Linked DNA regions of Mus musculus: all the other regions are reported to be linked to region 1. The links are microRNA targets in miRTarBase. Many come from high-throughput screens and were not tested one by one. Region 1 holds a microRNA gene; each other region holds the end of a gene's coding sequence.
Evidence for each region. The annotated mature microRNA mmu-miR-190a-5p reads UGAUAUGUUUGAUAUAUUAGGU and lies in region 1 at 3,346-3,367, opposite strand. An mRNA with a match to its seed (bases 2 to 7 or 8) in the 3' UTR can be bound and repressed. Matches are read on the target gene's strand: a 7mer-m8 pairs with bases 2 to 8, a 7mer-A1 pairs with bases 2 to 7 and ends in A, and an 8mer does both.

Region 2: miRTarBase lists Golm2 as a target of mmu-miR-190a-5p. The part of its 3' UTR that is shown has no 7-base or 8-base seed match.
Region 3: the mRNA of Zfyve27 is a reported target of mmu-miR-190a-5p. Seed matches in the 3' UTR shown: 7mer-m8 at 5,340-5,346.
Region 4: the mRNA of Fut9 is a reported target of mmu-miR-190a-5p. Seed matches in the 3' UTR shown: 7mer-m8 at 879-885.

The regions. Positions count from the first base shown.
Region 1 is chr9:67,233,355-67,241,126 of GRCm38, forward strand. It overlaps Mir190a (microRNA 190a), which reads right to left and starts at 3,372; the gene lies at 3,306-3,372. Tln2 (talin 2) reads right to left here. Exons shown (of 58, transcript NM_001081242.2): 53 at 7,326-7,450.
Region 2 is chr2:121,930,875-121,938,646 of GRCm38, reverse strand. It overlaps Golm2 (golgi membrane protein 2), which reads right to left. Exons shown (of 10, transcript NM_001205369.1): 10 at 2,427-5,169. The coding sequence ends at 5,099. Gm39916 (a long non-coding RNA gene) reads left to right here. Exons shown (of 3, transcript XR_866673.2): 3 at 1,077-1,243. Among named protein-coding and RNA genes, the nearest start is that of Gm39916, 9.2 kb to the left of the region's middle.
Region 3 is chr19:42,188,686-42,196,457 of GRCm38, reverse strand. It overlaps Zfyve27 (zinc finger, FYVE domain containing 27), which reads right to left. Exons shown (of 13, transcript NM_177319.3): 11 at 7,215-7,261; 12 at 6,855-6,936; 13 at 1,865-6,075. The coding sequence ends at 6,011. Among named protein-coding and RNA genes, the nearest start is that of Sfrp5, 9.7 kb to the left of the region's middle.
Region 4 is chr4:25,612,907-25,620,271 of GRCm38, reverse strand. Fut9 (fucosyltransferase 9) reads left to right here. Exons shown (of 3, transcript NM_010243.3): 3 at 1-7,365. The coding sequence ends at 539. Among named protein-coding and RNA genes, the nearest start is that of Gm24977, 50 kb to the right of the region's middle.

The sequences.
Region 1 (7,772 bases):
TCTTTGGCCTCTAGCTTAGACATGTCTCCATTTCACATTAAAACTTTCTAAGATGTTTACTGAAATTAAGCAGTTAGTGCATTCTCTTTTCTACCCTCAGGAGTCCTACCTCCTTCCTGATGTCTTTAGTGACCTACCCACCTTCTTTGATGTCCCCTGGGCAAGTATGGGCGGGAGGGCATCTGGCTCCGTAGTCCTCCTTCTCATTCACTTTGTGAATTATGTCCCTGAGACCCTTTACCCAGGAGTAGCCCTAACTTCTGCCTCAGGCTTAGAAAATGTCCATAAAATACTTTTCTCCCTCCTCCCTGTACCCCCAATTTTTCTTGTGACAGTGTCTCAGGCTGGCCTCTAATTATGCATGTAGAAGATGGCCTTGTACTTCTGATCCTCTTGTCTCTTGAATTAGAGGCATGTACTAGCATGCCAGGTGTATGGGGGCTGGAGACTGAACCCAGGACCTCATGTATGTTAGGCAAATACTCTATCAAGTGAGCAGCTCTATCTCCAGTCCATACAGACCAGACTTTTACAAGCGATTACTTATTATTATTACTGTGTATGTGTACATGTGTGTGGATACACGTGTCATGGTACACATATGGAGGTTGCAGGCCAGCTTTCTCTCCTTCCACTGTGGGATCTGGGGATTGAATTCAACTTGCTAGGCTTGCAAAGCAAGCCACTTTTATCCACTGAGCTACCTCACCAGCCCAGACCAGACTTTTTGAGAGCTAAAAAGTACCATGACTCTTCTCCACGCAAGCAGCTACATGTACCAAAGAGCTATTCAAGCTGTTTCTCGCCCTTCCATCATTTCACATCTTGCCACCTTCTGTGTTAGTCTCTTACTGAATGGCCACTACTACAAGAAGGTCGCATTCAGAAGTCAGAAGTCCAGTGGAGTTTTTTAAAAGTGTAAATGTGTTATATGTAAGTTAAATGTCCTCAAGGGAAAAACGGGGGCCAATACCTAGGACTCCCACAACGTGCAGGAGGTCTTTTCCTGACAGTTGGATGCTTGAGTGGAACAGGTGGCCATGTTTTCCTTTCTTGTGCAGAACCTGGCTGCTCCTGCCTAGCTTCTGGTTTTGACTTGAGAGATGCTTTGGGGAGAAAGTCTTGGCCAAAGCATACCATGGCTACATCAACTTGTGCTCTGAAGGACCAGTGGGTTGGCTGGCTCTAAGACCTCCTTCATCCTTAATAAAGCTAACAAAAGGCAAATCTCCCAGAACAGCTGGTACCCTTCACAGAGGCCTGGTCTCAGGGGAAGCTCAGGGTGACACAGAGAAACCACTGCTGAGCAAGTCATGTTAGTAGCTGGATACGCACCACCTTCACATCCAGATAGATAATAAAGGAATAGGTTCATGTAGCATCCATTGGAAAAGCCCCAAGCCTGCACAGTTAGTATCTTGGGAATAGTTTTTCCCCATATAATACAATTGCTTTATTACATTTTTTGTAACTTATATTCAATATAAAAAGTAATACCACTGAGTTGATCTTATAATTAGTCTCTGATGAAAATAAATTCTTTAGAATTCTGTCATACTCTCAAAAAGGGGAAGAAGGGGTCACTTGGACCTTGATATAGGAAGTATGGACAATAGAAGCCTTTCCATTATTCAATGAGATACAGTTTGGTTCATCTTAGGAATCTCTGGTATGAGCCTTCTATGCATCTAAGGACCTAACAAGGTCCTGGTAGAGAACCACCTGGCAATACACTCTCTGCTTGTCTGGGACCAAGGTCTGGCATGTGAGCTCCAAGCCTGTAGCTTAGCCATGCAGAAAACATGTTTGCTTTCCCATGTCACAGAACACCTGTGTGCCCGTTCCCACTCCCACTCAGAATATGAATCAGCCACATGGGAATGCCAGACAGCAGCAGAGTTACCCCCCATCCCAAATCTCACCACTTCTGGCAAGTGTCTTCATCCGAAAGACCTTTTAGAGCGATGCTTAAAAAAACTACTCGTTCACCAATGGTGGCTTCTACATATTCCCAAGTTCCTTTTCTGACGACCCCCGTCAAACTACTCTCCTGCCCCTGTAGGGTAAGAGGTCTTGCTCATCCACAGTTAGGAGTGCCATCAAGAGTTGTTTCCTCCTAAGGTAAAACCAACAAGGCCTGGGAGCATAGCCATGCTATTTCCAGGAAAAGTACTTATATAGTCTCTGTGCTAGACAGCTCAGAGTAAACTCACATACAGTTCACGGACTCATTTATGGGAAGAAGTCAAAGCAGCCAGAGAGGCTGATATATACCCGAAAGAATGCTTTCTGGGTCATAGCCCAACTTCCTGCGGCAGCCAATTAGAGTATTTGTTTACTTTCGGACTGCCGGGTTCTTCTAAATATTAACAACCTCTGTGCAGAAGTTCACCTACAACAGAAAACTCAACCGACAGAGCACAGTCCCGAGCATGTTCTCTTCATCAGACATATCTGATCCAAATTAAGGTCTGCAATTAAGGTTTACGGGCTCACCATCCGTAAAGTGAGCACAGTCACCAGGGTTTAGATTTGTTACCAGAAGCGGAAAGTTAGAGATAATAAATGTCCCGATTTTTTTTTTGGCATGGAAAACAATTACAAAATTTAATCTGTGAGAGTGTGTTGAGAGTTGTCAGGAAGAAATATCTAGATCAATGTGTTTGCCAGTTACAATCCTAACCTTTGTCCTATATCAAAGACACGGGTTGTTATCTTCCATCTTTTTCCACTGAATACTTTTCTTAAGGACTCCTAATTGCATTCAACTAAACTTTAGAAAATATCTTAAGCCTTCAGGAGCTATACTCCCTTTCCACAACAAACAGATAATGTAGTAGTATTGATACAGTTTGTTGTGGTCTGAAACAAAGCATCCCCCATCCATAATAAGTTAGTGTGTCTGAACATTTGGTCTTCAGCTGGCAGTGCCATTTGGCTATGGAAGCTTTAGGAATTCACAAAGCCTTGCTGAAGGACATACTGGCCTTTGAGGTTTTATGGCCTGGCTCCATCTGCTGTCCTATCTCTCTACTTCCTGACTGCCGGCCTTCCCTCTTTGATGGTCTGGCCCCTGATAAACTAAGCCATAATACACCCTTTTGCCTTAAGTTGCTTTTGGTTGGGGCATCCTGTCACAGCAACAGAAAGGTAACTAAGACACAGGTCTTAAAGGCTACACGAAGAAATGGAATGAAACATAACAACATACGCACTCTGTCATCTAAACCTACTTGTGATTTTTTAATATATTTTTTCCTGTTGCTTCTAAACTTTGTTAGGACCCCCGGAGACAGGGCAAGACACTGTAGGAATATGCTTGATATATAGTTGGATTAAATAACAACCTAATATATCAAACATATCACACAGAGGCCTGCAGAAAAGGCATCCAGGTTTGACTGAGCTTGAGAATATGGCTGTGGGAGTCAGTCACCTCTGCAGTATCTCCCAGCCTGCCTTGGAACACAGGCGTGTCTGTAGGTGTGGCAAGGATGCCATTAGCAACAATGCTGGTGGCACACACTCTGAGCCTGGGCTCCTTTCCCCAAATGAAAAGGGAGTCTGTGCACCTGTCTGTCACTCACGTCTGAGAGATTACAGGTAAAGGGAGGTGCTTCCATGGTCAGGGCCCAAGGGTGGAACTACACCAGAACCATCTTCACATGCCACAGACTAGTCTCCTTTTAAAACAGGTAACCTGAGAACCAGGTAATCAAAACAGCTGGAAGTCATCACCCTCCCTCCCTCCCTCCCCAAACTAGTCCTCCAAGCAGCACAGGTGCTCTGCCTGGGTGGAGGATAACCTCATTCACGTGGTATGGGGGTGGGTGGCCACAGTCACTATGGCAAGTATGCAGGAGCAGCTGCCATTTATGGCACCCTGAGGATTTTTGTCTTTAAGGTTACAGGACAGGATGGAGAAAAGTAACCTCAAATATTAGCTGGTTTTGCTGTTTCGGTAATTTTTTTTCTTTTAAGCCGAGGAAAAGTTCTTTTGTAACTGTCAGGAGGATGTTATGCATTGTGCAAGAAGTTTCCCACGGTGGACGGCCCTCCTTGCAAGCCCGGGGCTACATGCTTTGGGATGATAAGCTGCTTTGAGACACTTTCATGGATAATGCCTAGCAGTGTACACATAAGGGGTCCACACAGGCCGCCTCCGGCAACCATCCCTCATTTTCTTTTCTTAAGATTTACTTATTTATTTTAAGTGAGTACACTGGCACTCTCTTCAGACACACCAGAAGAGGGCATCGGATCCCATCACAGATGGTTGTGAGCCACCATGTGGTTGTTGGGAATTGAACTCGGGACCTCTGGGAGAGCAGTCAGTGCTCTTAACCGCTGAGCCCTCTCTCCAGCCCCCCTCATTTTCAATGTGTGTGGTTTTCAAACATTGTTTTCCAGAACTGTAAAACACAGAGCCTGCCGTTCCCTGGTCCCATTTCAAGTCTTAGCTGTTCTTTGCTGATCATCTCCGTTAGTTCCCAGCTTTGTGACATAAGCACTAACCATGGATGCCTAGGTGTTATCATTTCTCCCCATTTTACTCATTCCATAAGCATCTTCACGCTGTACAGTCTGGCAACCATTACTCTTCATTACTGTAACAGCCTCATCATTTCCCTTCAAGAAGACCCCAACTTCTTACTGCTACCAACCAAGCTTCTAGAACATCCCTCTCACACAAGTCTGGGTTTTTTTCCTTAGGAAAGGAACTGGAGACAAGTCTAACAGCCTAAGACACTATAAAGTGCAGTGGTCCTGAGGGACGGGAATCATTTTCTCTGCCAATGGGGTATCAGAGGGAGTACAGTGTTCAGAAACTGGGACCCCAGCTCTATGTTCCCTCCCCACTCAATCACACGGTCTGACAGTGGTGAGGACCAGATAAAATACTTAGGAGACTGGTCTGGACCGTGTCTTGTATTTACGGTAGCCCTGTCGCCCGCCCTCTTACCCAACTAGGGATCCATGAAAGACCTTATCTTCCACACAAAGATGAAAAATGAAGGTGTCAGAAAGCATATGTCTGGTCATAGTGATGGTGACAGAGGTGATAGCATTACCATTTACTAGTCAGGCACCATGTTCTTACGTTATCGACTTATGCTATAAGAACAATCCTGCAGGATGAAGGAGATCCCAGTAAGTCTGTTTTCCAAATCAAGAATGTTGACGCAAATGAGCAACCAGTCAGAGAAAAACAGACAAGAGCTGAGGAGGACCCTAGAGAAGGACAGGGTGGAGGCCAGGGGATGCTGGAAAATAGTGGAATATGGGTGATACACGAGCAGCAGGCCCATTCACAGATTGCAGGTGTCAACTGACCAAAACACAGAGTCATCCCCTGTGAAAAGGCCTCTTGGGATAGACTAGACAAGCATAAGACACGCAGATTAAGCTGCAAACCTCACAACCTTTTATATATATATATATATTTTTTTTTTGGAAGGGGGGGGTTTGAGACAGGGTTTCTCTGTGTAGCCCTGGCTGTCCTGGAACTCACTTTGTAGACCAGGCTGACCTCGAACTCAGAAATCCGCCTGCCTCTGCCTCCCGAGTGCTGGGATCAAAGGCGTGCGCCACCACCGCCCGGCACAACCTTATTTTTAAGATTCACCTTTAAAGTATACTTCTCAAGTTCTATTAACTTGACTTGCAAAGCAGAAACAAAAACCTAACCCGAAAATGCAGTTGTCCCTGACCGGACTGTCAGATCTTAAACTCTGACAGTATCAGATGATCCAAGAGCCCCAGGGCACCAGGAACGAAACCCCAGCAAACACAAAAGTCAGAGGTCAAAAATCTCAAATTATGCCTTGATGAGGAAAATCTGAAATGTGCCTGCCATCAAGGCCAGTGCTTAGGAGATAGGTCTGAAGCCTTGACGACTTTAAGAAGCCTCCAGCCTTAACAGATTCATTAGCCTCCTGTCTGCTGCATACATGTCCTCAACACTGCCTTGGCACTGATTGTTGTATTTCAAACCTCCAGACACCATCTTTCAATTTGACAAAAATAGGTAGAAATTTAGGCAGACCTAAACTGGGGGTCTAACTTTTTTGGGGCGGGCATACAAATAGCCAAAGTTCCTTTCCCAATGTATGTGGGTCCCTGGGAGGTGAATATAGATACCCATAAAGACTTGCATAGGTAGGAAGAAAATGAAACCTCCTCCTTCTGACATCTTCCTAAAGGTGGCTGAAGTGTGGGGTAGGAACCGCAGCTGCTTACTAAGGCTGAGCCTGACCCTGAAGATGGGCCAGCTCCTACTGCCCCATAGAAAAGAATCTATCTTCTTGGCTACTTCTCTTATGAAAACTACACTAGCCAGCCACGGGCTCCTGTACACACTGAAACAGCCTAGTGCTGGGTTTCTCTTTGAGATGTGCATTATTCTCTATTTGTGTGTGGATGCACAGGTGGAAGCCAGAGGTCCATGCCAAGTATTTCCCTCAATTGCTTCTCTACGATACTTCCATATATATAACTTTGTGTGCACGTGTGTGTGTGTGTGTAGAGTATCCATGGAGTCAGAGAGGATGTGGGATTCCTTGAAGATGGTGTGTGTGTGTGTAGAGTATCCATGGAGTCAGAGAGGATGTGGGATTCCTTGAAGATGGTGTTACAGATGGTTGTGAACCAGCTGCTGTGGGCGCTAGGAATTGAACTTGGGTCCTCTGGAATGGCAAAAGCAAGTGCTCTTCACTGAGCCATCTTTCTACCCACTGCAAGCACCATATTGTTTTTGGTTGATTTTTTGTTGTTGTTGTTGTTGTTTTTGTTTTTTATTTCCTCAGAGCTGTAAAGGCGCACACTACCGCGTGTGCTTTTTATGTGGGTGCTGGGAAATCCATACTCGGGTCTTCGTGCTCGCCCCAGTAAGCAGTTTACTGACTGAGCCATTTTCCAGGCCTGTTGTTTCTAAGAAAACAAGATACCCAGCATTGTTCTTTCTGTATCAAAGGTGCAGTAGAAACTGATGAACTGAAGGCTGTCAGTCTCCTATCTACTAACAGGAGCCTTTGACAGAAACTATCCACAACTTGCTTTCCATGGTGGAATTCCATGTGGATGTCCTGTTTCTCCTCGGAATAACCAGAGGTACTCTTCTTGGCAGTTAACTAGACCCACTCACTGGTTTTCACCCGCCCCCCTCCCCCACTATGTAAAATGGTGCTGGGCAGGCAGACCGGGTGCGACTTCCTGGTGTAAGGATGGGGAGGGAGGAGAAACTCTGTGTACCCTGCTTAGCTCCACTGCACAGTCACCGCTGGATGCAGGACGCAGGGGATGAGCGGCCGCCAGTGAACACTGACCTTTGGCTTTGCTCTTGGCTTCAGCTGCTCTAACTTCTTGGCAGCGGCTTCAATGGATGCTGCAGCTCCCAGTAACTCAGTTTCTGCAATGACGGTTGGGTCTTCTGGATCCACCCACTCTGTTCCTAAAATCAGTTCCAGGAGAGTCATTCTTGGTAGGTGTAGACATGAAGGTACTGGCGTAATCGCAAACACAAGCTAAAAAGGCATTCTGGCTATGATGGCCCTATGAGCCTATTCTCTCAGCCCTATCTAGATCTCCACCATCTGGATGGAGGGATAAGGGGTGCTAATATGTTTTTCTAAACCAGCTACATGTGTATAGCCCTATCCATAGGAATGCCAGCAACACTAGCTTCAAGATTCCATGGGTTGAGACTTGAGTCTCACTCTGCCTTCTTCTTTTTTTTTAAAAAAAAATGGTTTTTCGAGACAGGGTTTCTCTGT
Region 2 (7,772 bases), not on the chromosome of region 1:
GGAACTCACTCTGTAGACCAGGCTGGCCTCGAACTCAGAAATCCACCTGCCTCTGCCTCCCAAATGCTGGGATTAAAGGTGTGTGCCACCACTGCCCGGCTCTATTCAGGTCTTAAAAAAAAAAAAAAAAACCTCTCATATATTACCTGGTCACAGTTTCCCCTACCTCCCCTCTCGCCCAGATCCACCCCCTACTACCCTGCCTGAGAAAAAAAGAAAAAGAGTAGGCCCCAGGGGCATCAACCAAACACGGCACAAGAAGCTACAATGAGACTAGGCACATACTATCACATCAAGGCAGCCCAGTAGGAAGAAAACGGTCCCACAAGTAGACAAAACTTAGGGCAGCACCCCTTCCCACTGGTAGGATTCCCATATGAACACTAAGCTATTCAGCTATAGCATATATTCAGAGGACCTAGGTCAAAACCATACAGGTTCCCTGATCTCTGCAAGTCCCTCCGAGTCCCAGTCCGTTGATTCTGTGTGCAGTGTTCTAGAGATGTGTCCCTGAGCCCTGTGGTTCCTCTGATCCTTCCTCCTGGTTTTCCACTGCACAACCTGACCTCCACCTAGTGTTTGTCTGTGGGTCTCTGCATCTGATTTCATCAGTTGCTGGATGAAGTCTCACTGGTCACTTTGATGACAGTCCTTCTAGCATCTGGTCCCAGAACACTCTGCAGCAGGACAAACTGAAGGTGGAAAGTGTGGAAAGTTTTATGGCTGAGTTGGTATTCCTATCCCCCACTTGAAGCCTTGCCTATTCAAGTCTTGTCTAGGCAGCCATGTGGTTGAGATTTCAAGGGTGTGGCTCCCTGACATAGCTACAATCTCAGAGCAGACTTCCTGGTCCTCTGACTTTTTTTTTTTTTAAAGATTTACTTATTATTATACATAAGTACACTGTAGCTGTCTTCAGACGTACCAGAAGAGGGCGTCAGATCTCATTACAGATGGTTGTGAGCCACCATGTGGTTGCTGGGACTTGACCTAAAGCCTTTGGAAGAGTAGTCAGTGCTCTTACCTGCTGAGCCATCTGGTCCTCTGACTCTTATGTCTTTCTGTTCTCTCTTCAGAGATATTACCTGAACTTCCAATGCAGTTGTGCTGTGATGTCTCCATTGTGACTGCGTCTTGTTCTCTGCAATTGACTAGTTGTGACTTTCTGTAATGGTCTCCTGCTGCAAACAGAAGCTCCTTTTGATGATAGCTAAACTCATCTGTGGGTGTAAGGGTAAGTATTTGGAGTGCAATTACGAATTATAGTGTTGCTTTTTTAAAAGATTTCTTTATTATTATATCTAAGTACACTGTAGCTGTCTTCAGTCACCCAGAAGAGGGCATCAGATCTCATTACGGATAGTTGAGAGCCACCATGTGGTTGCTGGGATTTGAACTCTAGACCTTCAGAAGAGCAGTCAGTGCTCTTAACTGGAATTACAGTGTTTTAGGTTTTCCTCAGGCCTGTGACCTCGCACAGGTAGATGACTAGATTTACAGGACCTGGAATGATTTCTGTCCTGTTGAGCAAGCCTTCAATATTAGAAAGCTGATGGTAAACCCCAAGATATCTGTTATTATTTTACCAATGTAGATCTGTTGCTGGCCCAGTGCCTGCTGTGGTTCATAGGTTTTACAGCTGGGTAGGACTACCCAATGCTGCCCTTCCTTGACAGCTTGCATAGCACAGATCCTATGAGAGCAACTCTTCAGAGAAACTTCCAGATCAGCTCCAGTTGGATTACTCCAAGTTCTGTCTGAAATGTATCATGTCTTCAGCAATGAGAGACAACCAGGGAAAACAGCCACAGCTTATATTGTTTTGCGTCTCTTGAAGTCTGTTACCCAACAACTTGAGAGGGTGGTTTCTCAGGCATGATATTAGAGTTTTTGTTAGGTAGTCAATGGTTTTTTCAGGAAGCATTATTGCCCACAGTAGTATAAGTTCTTTTTAACAATCTCTGCCTCTGTTACTACCTAACTCTTTGCATGTGTACATACACATACATCTACGTGGTGGTTTGAATGAGAATGGCCTCCACAGGCTCATAGATTTGAATCCTTGGTCACCATAGAGTGTACTTATTTAGGATGTGTGGCTCTGTTGAAGGAGGGATGTCACTAAGGGTAGGCTTTGAGGTTTCAAAAACCTAAATCAGGCCCAGGGTCTGTCTGTCTGTCTGATGTGTACTTAGTAATATTTAACTCTCCTCCCCAGGGTTAGGTCACCCCACACCCACTTTCCCATTTCTCCACTTTATCTCTATTTTATCCATTTCATGCTGACTGCTTCCACATTAATGTAACCTCTAGAAAAGACCTTGTCTATTTTATTTACAATCTCACTACCACCAACTAATTCTAAGGACACAAAAGACTTTCAACCTTTACAGAATAAGTTGGTTCTACAGTAAACAACCCTAGTCTTTTTTTTTTTTTTTAAAGATTTATTTATTTATTATATGTAAGTACACTGTAGCTGTCTTCAGACACACCAGAAGAGGGCATCAGATCTCATTACGGATGGTTGTGAGCCACCATGTGGTTGCTGGGATTTGAACTCTGGACCTTTGGAAGAGCAGTCGGGTGCTCTTACCCACTGAGCCATCTCACCAGCCCAACCCTAGTCTTTTAGTCCAATTTACCTTAAAATAAATGATAACATTTATTCAAGTTTTAATGTCAAGATGTAAATGTTTATATTCATGTAATTATATATATATAATCAAAACTGTGAAACAAGTTTAACTTTTAATTTATTAGAACCCAGAAAGTGATGATTTTTTTAAAAGCAGAGTTCCCATCAAATTAACACTTAATTCAGGGCAAAATATATTAAAATATAACAAAATAAAAAAAAAACCCTAAATCTTAAGGCAGAAGTAAAACACTGTAAACAGAACAAAATAGCATGTCTAATACAGACTGTAGAATGTCACAATTTAAAGAGATTCACATAGTATTTTATAGCACTAAAATGTTAATACAGTCAGAAATATTATCAATTGGTCCAAGATTCCTCAGTTTATAAAATGTCTAGGCTGCTAATTGAAGTTTTTTTCCATATAAAGATAGATAGGTACCATAAAATCAAGTGACTGCTTTTATAACAGAGGAACCAACAGGCATCTTTATGATTTTGTCTGTACAGTTCTACAGTATCAAGTATGGAGTATCACTAGGCATTTGTAGGTTCAGCTCCCCTTTCTAATGCCCATGGTTGTATGTCACTCCCCTTTGACTGTATTTTAATGTGAACCATACTTTTTACTACAGAGGCCTAGCTTTACTGATAACAAAATCATGAACTGTTTAGTTTCTTGGTGTGTGGGTATGTGCGTGTGCAGTTACATGTGTGCACATGTAGGTACAGGTGTTTATGAGTGTATGTGGAAGCCAGAGGGTCAACTTGTTTATATATGCGTGTGTGTGTGTGTGTGTGTGTGTGTGTGTGTGTGTGTGTGTGTAGATGTTCCTCAGGAACAACTGTCCCTTACAGGGACCTGGAACTTGCTAATTAGGCCAGGATGGCTATTCAGTGAGCCTCAGGGACACACCTGTTTCTGTTTCCTCAACACTAGGATTGCAGTTGTGATACATGCCCAGTGGTATATAATCTGAGATAGCAGAAAAAACAAATTTTAATAAATTATTCCATCTTTTCCTGGCCATTAAATAACTTTGGACTGAACTATAAGGACTTCAGATGTCAGCAGGTGAACAATACTTCTGTTAGTATTTGGATTAGAGCCTTAGTGTGGGGACTTTTCATGTCTACTTACTTGTCTGCTGTTTTTAGTGTTTGAATCAAACCCAGGCCTCTGCACATCTGAGCTACAGTCACTCTCTAGTAGTTCATGCTTATGTGTAATTAATAGCAGCCCTTCTTAAAAAAAAAAAAAGGAATAATAGCCTTGGGATTAACAGCCTTATGATCAACACCTTTAATTTTTAGGGAACACAAAAAAATTAAAAGTGCTTGAAATCAGTAAACAAGGATTAGCTAGCTTATATATCCTAATGAATAATGCCAAAAGACACAATGCACTGAAAATAATTCTGTAAGTCTAGCAAATGAGCTTGGTGGGTTCTTAACTAACATTAATTACAAATACTCATTTTTTATTACAAAGTTTTCAGCTATTTCAATAAAATAGCTGCAGACTTCACGGTACTTCTACTCATCTGTTCATTAATAAAAACCTGTTAAAATCCCTTACTTAGTAGTTCTGGAAAAGTCTAATCAAATACGATCATTAAAACTACCAGCAAAGCTTTGCTGTACTGATTGCAGACTCATTTCAAAGTGGATTCAGTCTCTCTCAGGGTCTGACTCTTAACTGGTGAATGTATTCACCAGCTTGAGCTCTGAAAATAGAAAGAATTTTAGCCAGTGCTGACCAGAGTTAAACAGTTCTGGTATTACTTGAAAAATAAAAATACACTGTCAACCATGCATTCCACAACTTCAAGAACCAAGTAAGGAACTACTGATAGATATGGTAAGGATGTAACGGTGACCTAGGCTTTTCATCAGGCCTCAGCACACTCACATCAGGGCCCATGTAAGATAAAGGAGTAGAAGGCCATTCTGTACATTTGCCCACTGTCTGGCATCCAGCCTCCCCACTTCTGTGTAACTATTCAGAACTTCTTCAAGAGTGTTAACTGAGGGGTAGTAGAGGACACCTATGGGGGAACAAAAATGTAGTAATGTGGACTTTTCAGCCGAATAAGTTCTCATTGTGGTTATACTATGTGCAGCATATAACCTGTACAACCATTTGTTCCTGTTTGTCTCTTTGTGAAAAAAAAATTAGGCTCAATAAAATGTGAAATTTACATTAGTTTGCTTTAAAATGCAAAGATTAACTGTTTTTGGCCCAGCTGTGTAGTAACCAAAAAAAGTATCTGCTTTGATAATATAATATGAAAAAGTTCACATATGTACATTGGTACATTCCTTCATTAAAATTTCCTTAAATCTATCTCAATGTATCTTTACAACTGATACAACTGATCTTTACAGCAAAAGTCAAAATTGACAAGTAGAGATGATCTGTTGCACAGCACTTTGGGTTTCGGGAATCCCTTAGACTTAAAGGACATCACTGAAGCGCTGTTTGCCATAGTCTGCAGGATCCATCTGAAGCTCTCGTTCTTCATCATCTGCAAGCAAAATAATATGTATCAAGAATAGAGTTCCAAAGTTGCTGCAAAGAGCCAGCTTCAAAGTGTCTCCAGTTTTTCAGCAATCTTTTCTCATTATCCCATATGTGCTTGTTATCTTAAACAGTGCTCTGTTCCTTAGCCACATGGCTGAAGTGTAAATAGTCTATCATTACTTTGTAAGATTTAATTTTAACAAATATTCTTAGCTGGACATAGTGGCTCACACCTGTAATCCCAGCTCTAGGGAGCCTGAGGCAAAAGGATTAGAAGTTCAAGACCAGCCTGGACCACATAGAAAACTTGAGGTCTACCTGGGCTACATGAAACCCCATCTCAAAGAAACACCAATCATCTCCAACTTTCAAACAGAACAGAGTCACTTCTGACAGGTACCGGGGAAATAGACAGACAGAGCTAGCAAAATGTTAGGAACTCACAGCACTGAAGAGCTAGTGCTGTGCATTATCTTATGGACTGGAGAGATGGCTCAGCAGTTAAGAGCACTGACTGCTCTTCCAGAGGTCCTGAGTTCAATTCCCAGCAACCACATGGTGGCTCACAATCATATGTAATGGGATCCAATGCACTCTTCTAGTGTGTGTCTAAAGACAGCTACAGTGTACTCATATAAATAAAAATAAATAAGTCTTATAAAAACAAAGACAAAAACCCTCATCTTAGCTGGTCTTATGGGGTTTTATGTGCCTGTGAGGTCCTAGTTTAAGGTCATTCCTATCTCCATAGTTTCAAAACAGCCTAAGCTACAGGTGACACTCTTAAAAACCACCATCATCTTTTCAAACTATAAAGGTAATCTACACTCATCATGAAAAAAATTAGAAAATAAGAGAGAATATAAATTCTCCCCAATCTCAATATGCATTTCCAGGAAGTTCTCTACAAATAGCTTACTCATAACTTTCTAATCAGAGCACATGTACCAAAAGTTAGAGCTTTCTTCACCAAAAAAGAAATTATAGCTGCGAGACCCCAAGAGCCTTTTGAGCAGCTGTAGTGAGTGACTCTAGTGAGTGCCTTGCAGTCTGCTCTGCCTACAGTCTCATCTGTCAGCTGCCATTTTGCAAGTTCTGTTTATTTCTCAATAGCCCTCTCCCTGCCCCCCAAATTTTGATATACAACTGTTCAAAATAATTAAGATTATGTTAGAATAAGAATGAAGGGGAGGGGGTGTTAGAGAGCTGGCTCAGCAGTTAAGAGCACCACTACTCTTCTGGAGAATTCAGAGGACTGGGTTTGCTTCTCAGCACCCACATGGCAGCTCACAACTGTCTGTAACTCCAGTTCCAGATGATTGGACACCCTTACAGAGACACACATGTAGGCAAAACATCAATCAATATACATGAAACAAAAAATTAGTAAAATTTTTTTTAAAAAAATGAACGGAAGTTTAATTAGGAGATGGCTTTGTGCATTGCTTCCTTTTGTTACTTATTTCTTAGTATCACTCATAATTTACTGACTACCATCTGAAAATGAAAAGCAGGGTGGCTCTATGGATATGCTTTTGTATGTACTACTGGACTATTATAAATTAGGGACCATCTTTGAATTGGAATCATATTGAATTAACATTTTTCATTAATTCCTGGAGAATTTCATACAGTGGATGAACCATATTGACTCTGACTCCTCCCCTGAGATCCAAGGTGCCCTATAACAGTAAGTTTTTGAGACAACTTCATTATGTAGCTCAGGCTTGAACTCACAATCCTATTTCAACCCTCCACATGCTATTTTGGGCTTTCTAAAATGACCAAACAACCCAACTTTCTTTTTCCTTTCAACAACTTCCCTGTTAAAATCATAGAATTGTGAATTCAAACCACCATTTTGTAATACAATCTGAATATTGATCACTTCTTTTGTCACAGGGGGTGCTAGGGTCTGAACTCTGTCTGCATACTTGTCAAGTGTTGTCCCACAGGGCTCCATCCTCAGCCAGTTTATACTTGTTAGCTCACTTGCTGTTTCATCTGTTTTATGTGGTGCTGTGGGCTCTGACTACCTGCTTACTGAGCCACATCCGTAGATTGCTTTTATTTTATTTTTTTAAGATTTATTTATTTTATTTGTATGAGTACACTGTAGCTGTCTTCAGACACACCAGAAGAGGGCGTCATATCTCACTACGGGTGGTTGTGAGCCACCATGTAGTTGCTGGGAATTGAACTTGGGATCTCTAAAAGAGCAGTCAGTGCTCTCACCTGCTGAGCCATCTCTCCAGCCCCTGCTTTTATTTTTTATTTTGAGATAGCATCTCACTAAAACAAAAAACCAAACACCTCACCAAAAATCACACTTAAAAGAAAAAAAAATTTTGATTTTAAAGGGAGCACTTTTGTAGAATGCTCTCTGGAGAACCTGAGTTACGAAGCTTCAATTTATGCCCATGAGTACATCTTTTAAAACAATCACTTTTAAGACAATCACTATAAAGCAATGGAACATTCTGAGAAATTCAACACAAAATTTAGTGCAGGAAAAATGTTATTACTTTTGTGAATTTTTACATGAATAAATACAAAGACAGGCTGAGATAAAAAACGAAGGTTCTAGGGATAGGGAACACTGGGATC
Region 3 (7,772 bases), not on the chromosome of region 1:
TGCCCCACTTCTGTTCTCTGCCTGCCTAGAATCTCTTCTGGAATGGAGAGGAATTCTCCCAGGGAGCAGGGAGGCTCTGCAAGGCCCCGGGCCGGTCTTTCTTTAGCCAGTCCTGCTGGTCATACCGAGTTCCTTCCCAGTTGACAAAAGCCCACACCTGGACTCAAGAAACCAGTGAAGGCTGACCTCTGATCACAGGAGTGGAAATGCATTCCATGGTACATGGGGACCTCTCCACACGGAAGGTCTAGAGGTAGGGAGCTATGTGTTGGGGATGCGCCAGGCTCCAGATGTCTGCAGTTCTTGACTACAAGATAGTACCTCTTCCCAATTCCTGACAGCAAGGCCTACAGCTACAGCTCAGGAGTCCCCACCCCTCCTGAGCAGGTAAGCAGCAGGCCAGCAGGACAATCTGGTCGGCTTCCATTCCAGCTCCAGGCTAGGACTAAATCACATGACCACCCCCTCCCTTCGAGAGAGCGGAGGAAATCAAGTTTTCACCTGAACATAAAAAACATAAAAATTCTCATAGAAAACAGGAGTGACTTGGGAGCAAGGAACCTCACACTCGGGGTGGGGGTGAGAAGAGGCAATGTAGTTCTGGCCTCTGGTCCTATGAATTAGTAGCCAGGCAACACTGGGTACATGGCAGTGCTGCCGAGTGTGCGACAAGGACCTGGACATAATGCAGAGCTTAGGTGGCCAATGGTGGTTATTTGTATTGTCGCTAACACAACAATGCCCACACACAGTAGGTACCCAGCAAAATACCTGATTCTTCACTCAACTGAGATACATGACTGACAAGAGGGCAGGGAAAAGCCGGGACGTCTTACCTAAAGGCCAGAAGTATGGAGACTACATCTGGGGTTTTGCTTGCTTCAGAATTAGGCCCCTAGGTAGCATATAAACCCATGCCAGGGCAAATAGCAGACACTACTCAAAAGCACTTTGGAATTCTAATTTAAGCTTTACAGCTGCCATTTTGAGATAGGATCTCACAGTGTAGCCCTAAGTGGCTAACCACACTATGTAGACCAGAATGGCTAAAAACTCAGAGAGTCACCTGCTTCTACCCCTAAGTGCTATGATTAAAGGTGTGTGCCACCACACCGAGCCAGAGGTGGTGCATTTTAGTAACAGCTCAAAGACATTAAGGTTCTTGACCAAGCTGCACAACATAAATGGTGATGCTCCATTTGTCCCCAAACTCTTAACCACCACCCAGGACTTCTTAACCCCTCCCACTTACAACCTTCCACCCAAGAAACGCTTACTTGCTTCCAGGCATAGATACGTAAAATCCATATATTATATAAATCAAACATTTAGCCATAAATCTATTTCAAAATAACCCTTGGGCATACACACACCACGTAAGGATGAAAGCAAACCTGCACAGTAATGCACAGATGTGTTTGTATTTACACAGGGATTAAACCTTGGCTGAGTGGTTGATAGCATAGGATGCACAGCACTCAGTTCTTACAGATGATCAGTTTTGACTTTATAATCTCCAGTGCTGAGAATGCTGTTCTGTGGCATGCATTGGTGGTGCACACCTTTATGCCCAGCACTCGGGAGGCAGAGGCAGGTGGATCTTTTGAATTCCAGGCCAGCCTGGTCTACAGAGTGAGTGCCAGGACAGCTAGGGCTCCACAGAGAAACCCTGTCTCAAAAAACAAAAAAATTAAATTTAAATTAAAAAATAAAGAATGCTGTTCTGCATATAGACACACAGAGAGTACAAAATGGCAGAAGTATGTTTAGAGACATTTCATAAATTGTTTGAAATTCTATCCTGATCCCTGATCCAAGTCAAAGTTCACTGAAAAAAAAAAATTTATGAAACTGAAGTCAGCCGTTTCCACTTCTTTTTTAATTTTTGTTATTACTTGTGCTACAGTGTAGATGCCAGAGGAACTGCTTCTGTCCTTCAATCTTCTTGAGGCAGTCTCCGGTTTATGCCAGCCTCCTGCACACTCCAGAGCAATCCTCTTGTCTCTTCCCATCTTGCTATAGGAACACTGAGACTACAGACGCAACACATCAGGCTTTTTAACACAGGTTCCAGGGATCAAATTCAGGGGTCCAGCCCATGTGACCAGGACTTACCTAATGAGTCATCTCACTAGTCCACAAACATTAATTTTTAAAATCAAGTATTCCAATATAATGTGATGCAAAGATGTACTTTTTTGATATTTACATGCAAGCAGGGCAATAGTATGTCCTTATTTTCTGTAAGCCATTGTGTTCCTGTAAAAGCAGGAGCTGACTGGACAGTAAAAACACTGCAGTTCACAATATGCAGTGGTCTCACATCTGTGTGATTCAAGGAGTGTTCACTGGCTGTGTGGCAGGAGGGGAGGCAGAGGGCACAGGGTGCCTGTTGTGTGTTCAGAACCAAGACTGCGATGCTCAGGACAGGACTCCACAAACACCTCCAACTGATTTTCAAGTTTGGTTTTGAATTGTTTTTTAGTTGCTCGGTGTCTGATAGCCTTTTACTGTCACCAAACTTTTCCCAATCCTCACATGCAGTTACGGGATACCACACGGAATCACAGCCTACAGCTTAAAAGTCTGAGGACTATTACCACCTTCTACAGAGGTGAGATAGGACGGGACAGGCAATCTCAAAGGCTGCCTTCAGCTGCTTCCGTGATGCTACAAGAGCCCAGGCAGCAGCAGAGAAGCCTGCCGCTCCCACCCATTCCTTTTCACCCCTACTAGCATCCAGCCTCAGGTCTGCACAAAGCAAGCTCACATCCCACAACTGTGCAGCCATCTGTAATCCTGGCTAAAGTTCACTCCTTGGGAAATCTAATGTGGGGGGTGTTTGTTGCTGGAATGTGTGTGGCTGGAGCCTAGTGTCCCAGCCCAAACAGCCTCTGCTGGAGCCCCAAAGAAGGCTCACCGCCAAAGGAGCCCGGAATCCCCAGCCACCAGCAGTGCCAGAGAATGGAATGTGCTGCTGGGGTGTTGCTGGCAGGAGGTGGGGTCACTGGGAGCTAGGGAAGGTGGGGGCTCCAGCCACAAGGCCACTTCTGTTCTGGTAGAGACTGAAGGGGGATGGTGCTAAGAGGGTGGGGGTGGGGCAGACCAGTCTGTTAGCTCAGTGGCTAGCTCCTTAGAGAGTGGGGACCAGAACATGGCCTTTACCCAAGGCTTCTTAGACCATAGCTGCTATGAACACTTGTAACACAAGTGTTTCCCACTCCACTTTGGGTGGGGAACTTAACACCCCCCACCCCAGTACCTCTATTTACCTATTTAGAATATCCAAGAACTAGACAAACTGTGACACTGTAAGACATGAGCTACTGGCTAGGTATAGTCCCTGGCAGGATGACCTGTGAACAGGGCCAGCTGTGAGAAGAGACACAGATCTCTGAAAAAGGAGATTCATTTGGCTTCAGCCCCAGGGGCTACAGAAAACACCCCAAAATCATCACCTATTCCAGGTCTGCCAAGACCTTCTGAAGACATCCACATACTAGACCACAAAAGACTCAACAGACCTGAGCCCAAGTCAGGCTAGATGCCAGAGTTCCAAACCTGCCCTGCCACATGCCAGGACTCTAACACAACCTGGCTCTCTGTCTCTGTTCCTGGGTACCAGCAAATTGGAAGGTGTATTTTGACACAGACATCCAATTCTACAACGTGCAAGCTGTCTATCATTCCACATTGAGATCTCTGTACCACAGGCTCCATGGTGACACCATCACCAACCTTGCTGAACCCTGTTAGCTCTGCTCTCTTAAGAGGAACCTGCATCTGAAGACAGCCTCCCCACCTGTTCTCACAGGGACCTCCAGGAAACAAAAAAGGCAAGCCCCCTGTCTCACATCTGTGACTACAGCCAGCCTTTTTCAGCAGTGACAGTCACCTTTTGCTTTGTTTTGTTTTTCGGTTTTTCAAGACAGGGTTTCTCTGTAGCCCTGGCTGTCCTGGAACTCACTTTGTAGACCAGGCTGACCTTGAACTCAGAAATCCGCCTGCCTCTGCCTCCCAAATCCTGGGATTAAAGGCATGCGCTACCACGCCCGGCTACACAGTCACCTTTCAATAAGATGGCCTGATACCTTAAAAAAAAAAAAAAAAAAAAAAAGTTAAAATCATTCTTTGTTGAAGGAGGTGGTGGAAGAAGAGGAGGGAGAGGAGGAAGAGGAGGCAGCAGTGGCTTTTGCTATAAGGACACAGGACAGATGTGCATTCTTTCTAAAGGCTACAGGATGATAGCACATGGGTCCTTGGTAGGTGGGGCTGAGCTCAGAGCTGGCTCACAGTGCTGCTGCTGTGCACTGCCGGCCTTACCATGTGGAAAACAGAGCCTACCTCATGAGCTTGGTGCCAGCGCTAACATAATGTGTGCAGTGCCCAGCTCCAGCCTAGCCTGATCACAGGGCCAACTTGCACCTCACCCCACCAGAAACCTGCTTACCAGCTCTCAGCCTCCTGCAGCGCTGGCCTTTCTGTCTTTCCCAGAGGATTAGCTAAAACCTTTCCATTCTGAAGCCTGCATTATTTATAGTTAAGTTCTGGTCCCAACCTCAATCCAAGACCGTGGGTCTGGTCACAAGATAAAGCCCACCCCTCCTGTTGATAAGGCACAGCTTTCCACTGGGCCTGGCTGGCTCACGAATTGCCACAGGAGGTGTGCAAAGCCCACCTACAGCCCACCCTGGGCAACATGAAAGACCTGAACAGCACTAGGAGACCTGACAAAACCATAAGCATGGGGCCTTTTATTGACAATTCTCCACAGCGTTCCTGTCTACTGCTCTACAGTATAAATACGCAGAGGTGAGCATCTCTCACCAGGACAAAGGAGTACACCTCACCTGCTTGGTCCCCACTGCCAAACCCTCAGTGCTCTACTGCTGTGTGTGTGTGGCCTATCAGCAAGGAGGACCTCAAATGGTTCAGGTGTGGGCACCACACCCATGACTGGGCAGCAGAAACAGTTCCTGAAGATCAGCTCCAAGGGCAGTCCATGACTGCAGAAGGGTCTCAGGCAGAAGCCCCTTGTCTTCTTCATCCTACCCTGTGCTGCGTGCTCTCAGGAACCATGAAATAAATAAATAAATACTCTGAAAAAGCTCCAGGGGAAGGGGCCTGAGCCAGCTCATGGCTTAAGAAGAGGCACAGCACCCTTGGCAGGTCAGAGGGAACATAAAACTGGCCATGTGACTGACCCTATCCTACAATGCTATCTCTACTCCAGGAACAGCCCTGAAATCCGGGCAGTCCTACACGTCCCTGGACCTCAAAGGCTTGCAGTCTCTCTGCTCCACTCACCTGGCCGCATGTTCCATGAGATAAGGGCTAGAGATATGTGGCAGTGGGAGAAAGGTGGGGTGCCCTAGACTCAGAGCAGGATGGAAGAGTGATGTGAGGGTCCTGTAGCCACCCCAGCAGGGCTGAGGACACCAGAGAACCATGGGAGTTAAGATTCTGTAAGCAGAGCTTCCCCATCCTGCCATCCACTTGACACTGAAGGACTTGAGCAGCACCCTCACCTTCCCTCTCCTTGGGACACCTGGGAACGCCAGTCCTGAGGCTATTCAAAAGGCAAAGGCAGGCCATGGAGCTCTAAGTCCCCTCGCAGGCTCTCTGGGGCTGAGAGACTGACAAGTACCCAACAGGGAAGAACCTCTTTTCCAACCTCAAGTCTCTTGGATCCTAAGGTCTAGCCAGCCTGACCTTGACGACCAGAGCCCAGATGAGAGCAGGCTGTGCTCAATTCTGCCCTCTGGTGGACACTCCCTCGCTAGCCCTGAGTTAACAGGGTATAGGATAGAGCAGAACCAAGAGCCGGGACCCCAGGGGCTCCTCTCCCCCTGGGCCTTAGAGCATCACCAGCCCAGCTGGAGGCAGCAGGGGAAGGGCAGGAAGGACCTAGCTGTCAGGCTACGTTTGCCCAGCACAGGCCTCAGAGGCCCAGAGTTGGGACAGTAGGGTCACTGCTGGCCCCAGGACAGTTGGAGCCTGGCTTCTCTTCTCATTTGCTCAGGGTCTGATTGCAGGAGGCGCACACACACACAGTCTCTCTCTGGGCTTCAGGAGCTGGAAAGAAAGAAAAACTCAGTGAGACAGTTCTTTGTACCCTTTAGGCTCAAGGTGCCAAGTACTGAATTAGCCTCCCCAGTCCTGAGACAGACCACCCACGGCCCGGCCCACACCCTCCCTGACCCAGCTCCCTCCCTCAGACACGCTGGGGCACTGTGGCTCTGACGCCAACAGCAGGCCTCTCCCAGGTGTTCTATGCATTGGAAATTCTTCTGGCATCAACAAAATAAAATACCAGAGGAAATTTTCCCTAAACGTTTTAACAGTGGTTAAAAAATCTCTGGGTGGTAAGATTACAGGATCATTTTTCTCTTCCTTTCTTCTTTATAATAACCTCAAAACTTTATAGTTAACAAGCATGTGCTACTTGTAAGATTGGCAAAAAGCCTTGCCCCACACTGCAGCACATCACAGGGCAGGAAGTAAGATATCACCGCAGTTGTCAAGAGCACAAATACACATCCACGCTCCTGTATGTGCACGCTCATGCTTCCTACATGTGCACATCCATGCTCCCTTCTGCCTGTCAGGAACACAGGGGCAGGGGAGGACTTCCTTTTGCTCATCTACAGGTTTCATTTACAACAAACATACACAGCATTTAGGAAAGGAAGAGAAATTCCTTTGATTCTGTTAAAAGTGGACCTGGGGTAATGAAATAAGATTCAACCAGGTGGTCTCCTCTGGGAGGAAAGAGGAGTCTCGGGAGCTGTCTTGCTCTATGCAGGGCAGCCTCAGTCCTTCCCACAGGCCGCCTCTCTGGCCTCCTCGCTCACCTGTGGCTCCCATAGAGGACCTGGGCACCTTGAAGGAGCAACACCGCGAGCAGAAGCTGTTCCCACAGTTGCTGCAGCTCCGCTGTAGACGGGAACAACAGTGTCAGATGGAGCCCACCCTCAGGCACCTGACACCCCAGTGCTCCCTCCAATTTTATACAACAGAAGAGGGGCCTCAGTGGGTGGGATGAGACAGGACAAAACAGCCAACAGAAGGCTGATAAGGGTGTGGGCCTTAGCAAACAGAGGGCACTGGTCCTATGACTCGAATGAGGGCTTAGACTCCATTGCTGACTCTCCTCAAGTCGTGCATCAGCCCCAGTCACAGCACACTGCCCCGGCAAACAGCAGCAGACTCACCCTCTTCTTCAGCACGGAGAACGTAGCGGCACAGCCTGCACAATTCCCTGAGAGACAAAGGCAGCAGCTGAGCTACGATCCAACCCAGGCCGCTCAACCCAAATTGTTCCTGACTCTAACTGGGCCACTCAGGACCCAGCCAGGCACAGCCCAGCATCTTAGCTGGGTGCAGAGAGCAATATGTGTATTTAAAATAAGTAAAGGTGCCAGCTCCTCAGAGCAGCTTTCACCAAGCTACACACAGCTTGAGTCCTTGCACGCTCCCAACACCAAGTGCCACACACACTCACAAGCTTGGCAGATTATCAAAGAACAACCAGAGAATCTCCCCCCTGAAATCTAGCCAAGCCAACATGGACCTGAACCCCAGCATCCTCAATGAAGCCTACTAGATGTGACCTTTTCATAATGTCTCCTTCCAAACATCTGTCCACAGTGAGGGACAGATACGCCTCCAAGAAACACAAACTCCTTTCTGTCATCAGAAGATCCCAAGAGAAAGCTTGAAACAGGGCACCTTCCAACATGACATGAAGGGCAGGGTCTCAAGCACTGGTG
Region 4 (7,365 bases), not on the chromosome of region 1:
AAGTGCCAAGCAAGGAGAAGTTGGTGTGCTGGGTTGTGAGTAACTGGAACCCTGAGCATGCCAGGGTCAAGTATTACAACGAGCTCAGCAAGAGTATTGAAATCCACACCTATGGCCAAGCATTCGGAGAATACGTGAACGATAAAAATCTGATTCCCACCATATCTACTTGTAAATTTTATCTTTCATTTGAAAACTCAATTCACAAAGATTACATCACAGAAAAGCTCTACAATGCATTTTTGGCTGGTTCAGTACCTGTTGTCCTGGGTCCATCTAGGGAAAACTATGAGAATTATATTCCAGCTGATTCATTCATTCATGTGGAAGATTTTAACTCTCCCAGTGAGTTAGCAAAATATCTGAAGGAAGTTGACAAAAACAATAAGTTGTACCTTAGTTACTTTAACTGGAGAAAGGATTTTACTGTAAACCTACCACGGTTTTGGGAATCACATGCATGCCTGGCATGCGACCATGTAAAAAGGCATCAAGAATATAAGTCTGTTGGTAATTTAGAGAAATGGTTTTGGAATTAAAGTGTCCATCATTGTCACAGTGAAAAAGATTAATGAGACATAATTCAAGTTTTCAGGATAAGAAGAAACACGCTGCATTTGGGGCACCGTTTAATTTTCCTGCCCTCCCTTGAGGACCATGTATATTTTGGTGAAATTTTTAAGAGATCAGAATTAGCAATCACTCAATTTGGTTTTAAATTATCCTGTATATATGTGATAACGAGCACTGGAAATAATTTATTTGTCACTCTCATTTATAAACATTGTTTTTACATTTTATAGTTGACTGTAAAGTAAATTTATGATTTACTTGTTTCTACATCAATCAGATCTTTAATCTATTTGGGAGATAAAAATACATATCCTAAAATATGAGGGACTTTTTGCCAAGTATTATAAAGTATAGATTCTAGCTTGTATAATGCTAACAAAGAAGAATTATTGAATCACTTAATTCTTAATCTCTTTGACTTCAAAGTTGAACACTACTGACAACTGATAGAGTTTTTACTTGTACCACATTTGTGAAGGGGAGCTAATTGATGTAGCAAATAAGAAAGATATGAAGCAGAAATGTTATTAGACTTCACATTCATTTTTATTAAGTTGTTTAGCAAATGTAGATTCCCAATATTTTAAGTTAAAGAAAACAAGAATTTTCAGATAAACAATTTATATGGTTTTAGGGAGATTTGATTGTTTGTTTTGTGGGTTTAGTCCCTAATAATACCTAAGAGAATCTTTTGATAGTTCCCTTTCAAATCATGAAGATAACCACTATTTTAAAAATAAATAATTTCCTCTTATAACAATAAAAAAATGATATCTTCAAATACAAATAAATGTATAAATTATACCATTTATAGAACGCTAGTTACTTCATTCATTTGAAATATTTTTTCCAAAGCATCCATATTTAAGTTTTATTTTACTGTATTTGTTAATAAATAGAAGTAAAACTTGAAAGATCTATCTGATCATTTAAAAGAGTTTAAAATTCTTACCAATGGGTCAGATATGTCACAAAACACAATAAAGTGGGAACCTACAAGGAATACAGTGCTGACACAGAGTAAGATTTCAATATGTATTTTTTAAATAAATTATCAGTATTAAAAAAGTAATGGGTAAATTTTTGTTTTTGATAAAGGAACAGTTCTAGCCAAGAGCTATTAATTAAAATTTATCATTTTTATACCATTTAAGATAATATCCATACATAGAATATGTTGTTATTATATTCAGGGCTTTACACAACCAATGTAAATTTATTGCACTGAATTTGGGAGCATGTTATCTATGAACTTTCATCTGCCTGCAAAATTCTCTTCTGTAAGTGTAGAGGAGATAACTGGGCATATGCAAATACAATAGATTAGGGAAAAAATGTGATTCTGAAGACTCTGACAGAAAATTTTTCTTCAAAGTGTTTCTAAAGCCTGCATTCTATTCTGTTCAAAACCTACAGAAAAAAAAATAATGTTCTGATGACATTTATTTGGATCTTTTGTGGCTCTTTATATTTCTCTATTATGTATTGCAATTAGCCAAACTCAGGCTAATTCTCCTCATCTACAGAGAAGATTCATTTCAGTTTGACAAGCAGGAAGTATGTGCTCAATGAGACATAAGCTCCCTTAGCATGGAATCATTTGAGCAAAGAAAGACCACAGAATTAAACGAAGAGTATGATCTCATATTTTTTTAAAGACATAGTTACACAGGTGATATTGTTGATCCCCAACTGCCACAGAGGTAAAGATGAAAATGTGTTGTCACTGCAGGGTGACAATGGAGACTTAGTTAAAAAAAAAAAATACTAAACAATACTAGTAAATTTACTCCATTCTTTACCTACTCAACATGTGTTTGAATGGCAAGCTTTGTCTACTCACTTGATCCAACATATATTTTTCTCTAGATTATCTTTTTTCCACACATCGTTTTTACATGTATACCAAGAAATCATATATATACATAGATACTCTCATAAAGGCTCTAATCATATATTTATTTGCTTAAAAGTCAAATTCATGCATTTACTTATGATTTTTTTGATCCAAAAATGGTAGAGAGCTAAGCATGGATTGCTAAATTTAGAATATGCTCTCAGTGAAAGCTGGAAAGCATTTGATGTTGCTTTCATCCACCATTGCTATATTGGATGCTAAGAGACCTGAAGGCAGTTGCCTCTTTTGTTGGCTATGAATTTGAGCTCATTCTTGGACTGGAAGTACAATTAAATGCCAATAGTGTAAGCCAAGCCAAGGTATTAAGTATTTCACAAGTGCATCTACATATTTAGAACCTGATGCCAAGCCACAGAACGTCTGAACTTTACGTCCATAGTTAGAGCGAGCTTTTTAACTAGAATATACAACAATATTCATAAGTCAACCTCTTCTTTTCTGTGAACTAACTCGTTATTTATTTATGACATATTTATTCCTGATATGTTGAGAGACAGGCATGTCAACCCCACACGTAGTGATGATAGAAATTAGAATTTAAGGATCCTATTGCTATGACTCTCATTTCTCTCTGCCCTATCCATACCTTATTGTACAAATATATCTCAATTCCTATAAATGTGAATATCCTCTGGCATTATTTAGTCCCTGTAGGCTAGTATGTTCTGGGAGGACTTTAGTTTTTGGAAATATATTGAACAGAATTTGAGATGTTGACACTCTTTCTGATATTGTTTTAGCTGTTGAACTTTAGCAGAAGGAATGAGCTTCACTATGTGTGAGTGGAAAATGTACCACTGACAAGATATGCTATTGGCTGCTCTGTTAATAAATCCTGTGACTCATACTTTCTGTAAGCATATCTCTTATGAAAGATTGATTGATTCAACCAAATTGGCTTGCTGCTGGTATAATAAAAGCAGATAATATGCCTAGAGATCCAGGATGGCTCTAAACAGATCATGAGCAAGTTATCACCTAAAAGTGCAGAAAGTCCTTATCACCAGTGCTCTGAGTATTTAATTGCTATTTAGTTCAGGCCTTATTAATAGGAATACAAAAATAATTATTTTAAGCCTTACTGAAGAGAAATATACTGACTTATCTAGTTAGCTGCATTGTATTTTAGAGAGTGAAGATCTTGATAGCCATATATTTTAGGACAGCCATCACCTAATGAAGTAGAAAGTATAAAAGATACTCTCACTGGGAAACCAGCATCAGTTTACAAGATTTCTATTTACTGTGAGAAGCTCAGTCCTAGAGTGTACAAAGCTTGAACCAGAACTGTTGAGGTAGAAATGGACAGAATACTTGAGGAATTATTCACTCACTCTTTAAACTTTTGTCTTTAATTGGAGATTAAATAAAGAATGAATAAAAACAGGAAATAAGCTACTCAGATTTTCTTTTTTATTGAACTTTTTTCAGAGTAGACTTCATGGCTGCTACTCACCAAGAAAGCGTTTTTGTGAGTTAATGTTTCAAAACATTTTAGTTCTCCACATTTTTATTTCATGCTTTATGATGTCAGCTCCCCTCAACTCAAAGCTCAAGAGAAGGAGGTTTGTTAAAAATTGCAATCAAGGTCTAGATATAAGAGATTTCAGAAGCTAAAGGATAAGCATTTGTTCATACAGGAGGGGTTATTAATGGTTGCCTAGTAAATAATTACCTCAATGAAATTAGTGGACATGAAAGATACATTTAATGTAATCGAAATAACAGTTTCTTCATTCGAAATGGGGATAATCTCTTCTGTTCAAATTGCTTCTAGATTCAGAGAACAGACAGGTTAAGTCCTTCTTATCATATGTTTAAAAAAAAACAAAAGAAATAAATATTATGAAAGATTAAACTAGATTTGAAACTTCTTAGAATTCTATTTTAATATTAACCATTCACCAACTGTTAACCTAATAAAGATGAAATTAGGACATAAAGAGAATTGAAAAATGAAGCATCAGGATAGGCAAATGTGTATTACCAAACTGTGGGGAGAGAAACAGATTTACCCTTCATTCTTGCCAATTTGATTTGTTGTATAGTGAACATACTGCAAACATCATCTCAATCAAGTGGTTTTTGCTGTGGGCATCTCTCTTCTGGAGTCTTTATGGCACTGTGAAAATGGCTAAGCTCTGCTACTATCCAAAGTATGGTCCTGTGTAATTAATATTCAATCCATCCATATTTATAAGCAGTTAATAGAGTCTAAATGGTAGACACACTGTTGAACTAGAAATATGAGTAAGTCTACCCTAGACTATCATTGCAACAAATTGAAGCCTTGAGAAACTCACTTGACCTCTCTGGATAACCTTGTTAGTAAGAATTCCTTCAGCACAACTGCTTTATAATATGAGGCCTAAGTTGATATGTGCATATATTTGAGTTCCCTTGTCTATCCAAAAATATTTTTGAAAGTTAGTACTCCAAATAAAATTCCCTTTCTTTTCTCTAGAACAATAAAGAACAGGTTCTTTACTGAAACTTACAATATAGTAAGTGTTCAATTAACGAATCTTTCTCCTTTATATTTTTCTTCCTCTTAGGTCTCTTGCAACATACAGTTTCTTACACTTAGTTATCTACAGAAAACAACCATATATTGAACCCCATTCTAAAACAATTCACATTTTTTATACTATATGTATTCTTACTATAATAATCTAAAACTATTTATTGATGCAAACTCAGGAATTCAGTGGAAGCATGTCGAGTTCCTTCATCAACAGGAATATAGAGTTTGAGTGTATATGATTGACTATATTTAGAAAACTTATTCTTTTGACTCAAGGCTAATTTATTTCCATTCATTTAACACACTTTGGGTATATTTTCATTTAAAAGTAAATTCCATACCACTACTGTTTTAAAGCATTACTCAAGGCACTGTTCCTAAGCCATGTAATCTAGAGTTTGCAGAGATAATTATTAATAATACTGACAGCTGGTCCATTTTCCATGTAATTGGAACATTTTTATTTAAGGAAACAAAACAAAACCACAAAAAAACAAACAAACAAGAAAAGCAAAAACAAACAAACAAAAAAACAAAACAAAACGATAAAGGAAGAAGACAGAAACCATGGCATTACTACAAAGTAATCCTATGCCTCCCAGAGGTTCTCTGACTCACATCTGCTTTGAGAAATTCCTACATCAATGGCATAAGAATTATTTACATCATTTGAAAGATCGTCATAATACATAGGATGACCTAGGTCTGTATTTTTAAGGAGTCCATAGACAATTCAAACATGTTGCTAGTTTTGGAAGTCTGGGTCCTGTCTATTAAATAGAAGTAATTCTATACTCAAACAATACAGGCATGAGATATTGCCTTTCCTTAGCTCACTTGGATTCTCCTTAAATATATTGGTAGGTGTTACTATATTTCAAAGTCCAAGATGTTCCTCAATCTTAGTTGTGTCTTGTACAGTGGTGCTGCTCTTCAGCTATGATTTAGGGAAAACTATCATTTCCTGAAAATTATTTTTCACAATCTTTCTTAGATTTTTAAATGCACTTTTTTTTTCAGTTTTAAGTACAAAAAACAAAGGTAGGCAATTATTAGGTTCTCTTGCAGCCATCAAAATTGCACATATTTGATCAATTTCTTTCCCGAGTCTCAGAAGCTTATTGATAGGTAGGATATGGCAACATGTTATAACACTTTGGATTGTCCACAATCATGAGTTCAATATTAAATGTGAGCTATTCACTCACTAGCTCACTCTCTGTGCCTGATCTCATCTCTGTTGTTATCATGATTTGTATGTGTACAGTAGGGGTAGCCTATTTTGAAAACAAATGAATTCATCTCTAAAACCTTAGACAATTATATGTATGTGTATCCTGTGATGTTCTACCACTGAGATATATGCCTTTGGTCATTAAAAAAAAGAGAAAATAAGAGAAATTTAGAATACATAAAAATTTCAGCTCTGACATCTATTGCTATTAGGCTGGCAGCTTAGCTCGTAAGAATTGCTGAAAATTTAAACAAGCCAAAGGGTGAATATTCAATAGAAGAGAAACAAACATAGTGTGGAAGATTGCATTGACATCACTGAAATCAGAATGGCTACTCCTCGATAGAAGGGATTTACACAAACCTAGTGATGAAGCCTGCGGTAACATCTACTGAAATTAGAAAGTACTGGGAGGCAAGTGGGGGTGGTGGCACTGATGATCTCACTAACCACATAGAGCGTTTCCTAAAATAAGCAGACTTAATCTTCACTGTTACGAGAAATCAGTAAATTAATATTAATTTAGCTTGCTAGCCATTTATACAGCTGAAGTCCATGGACAGAATCACAGAAAGATTCTCAGAGATCATTTTCTAGTGAGGAAATTGCCCTTAGAAATATCCATCAACTTGACTAAATATTTCATGTCAACTGTTGGCTTAGGCACAGAAGCAGCTGATGATAGATTACAAGAGAATAGAGTCTCCCTTTACCTTTCCTTAAGATTTAATTAAAAAAAGGGAAGAGTTCAAAAATGTGACGATATAAACTCATTAAACAGAAATTAAATTGTTCAGTGATGCAGAAATCGAGCAATGAAAATAAGTTTAGGAGGCTGTGATTAAGACTCGACAAATTCTATGATACATAAGATTTTGACATGAACATTCTCAACTGCATACATATAATTTTTTAGTTGAATGGCCCCAAAAAGAAACATTTAAGGAAAATTTCCACATGTTAAAAAAAGGATAGTAACTAAAATAGCATATTAATTATTTTAAATTATGTTTCTTTAAAAAATGCTAGAAATGTCATATTTTCATTATGACATCAAAATACTTCAAAATTTGAATTGGTTTACTGAATTCTCAGACAACCAAATGTTTTTAAATT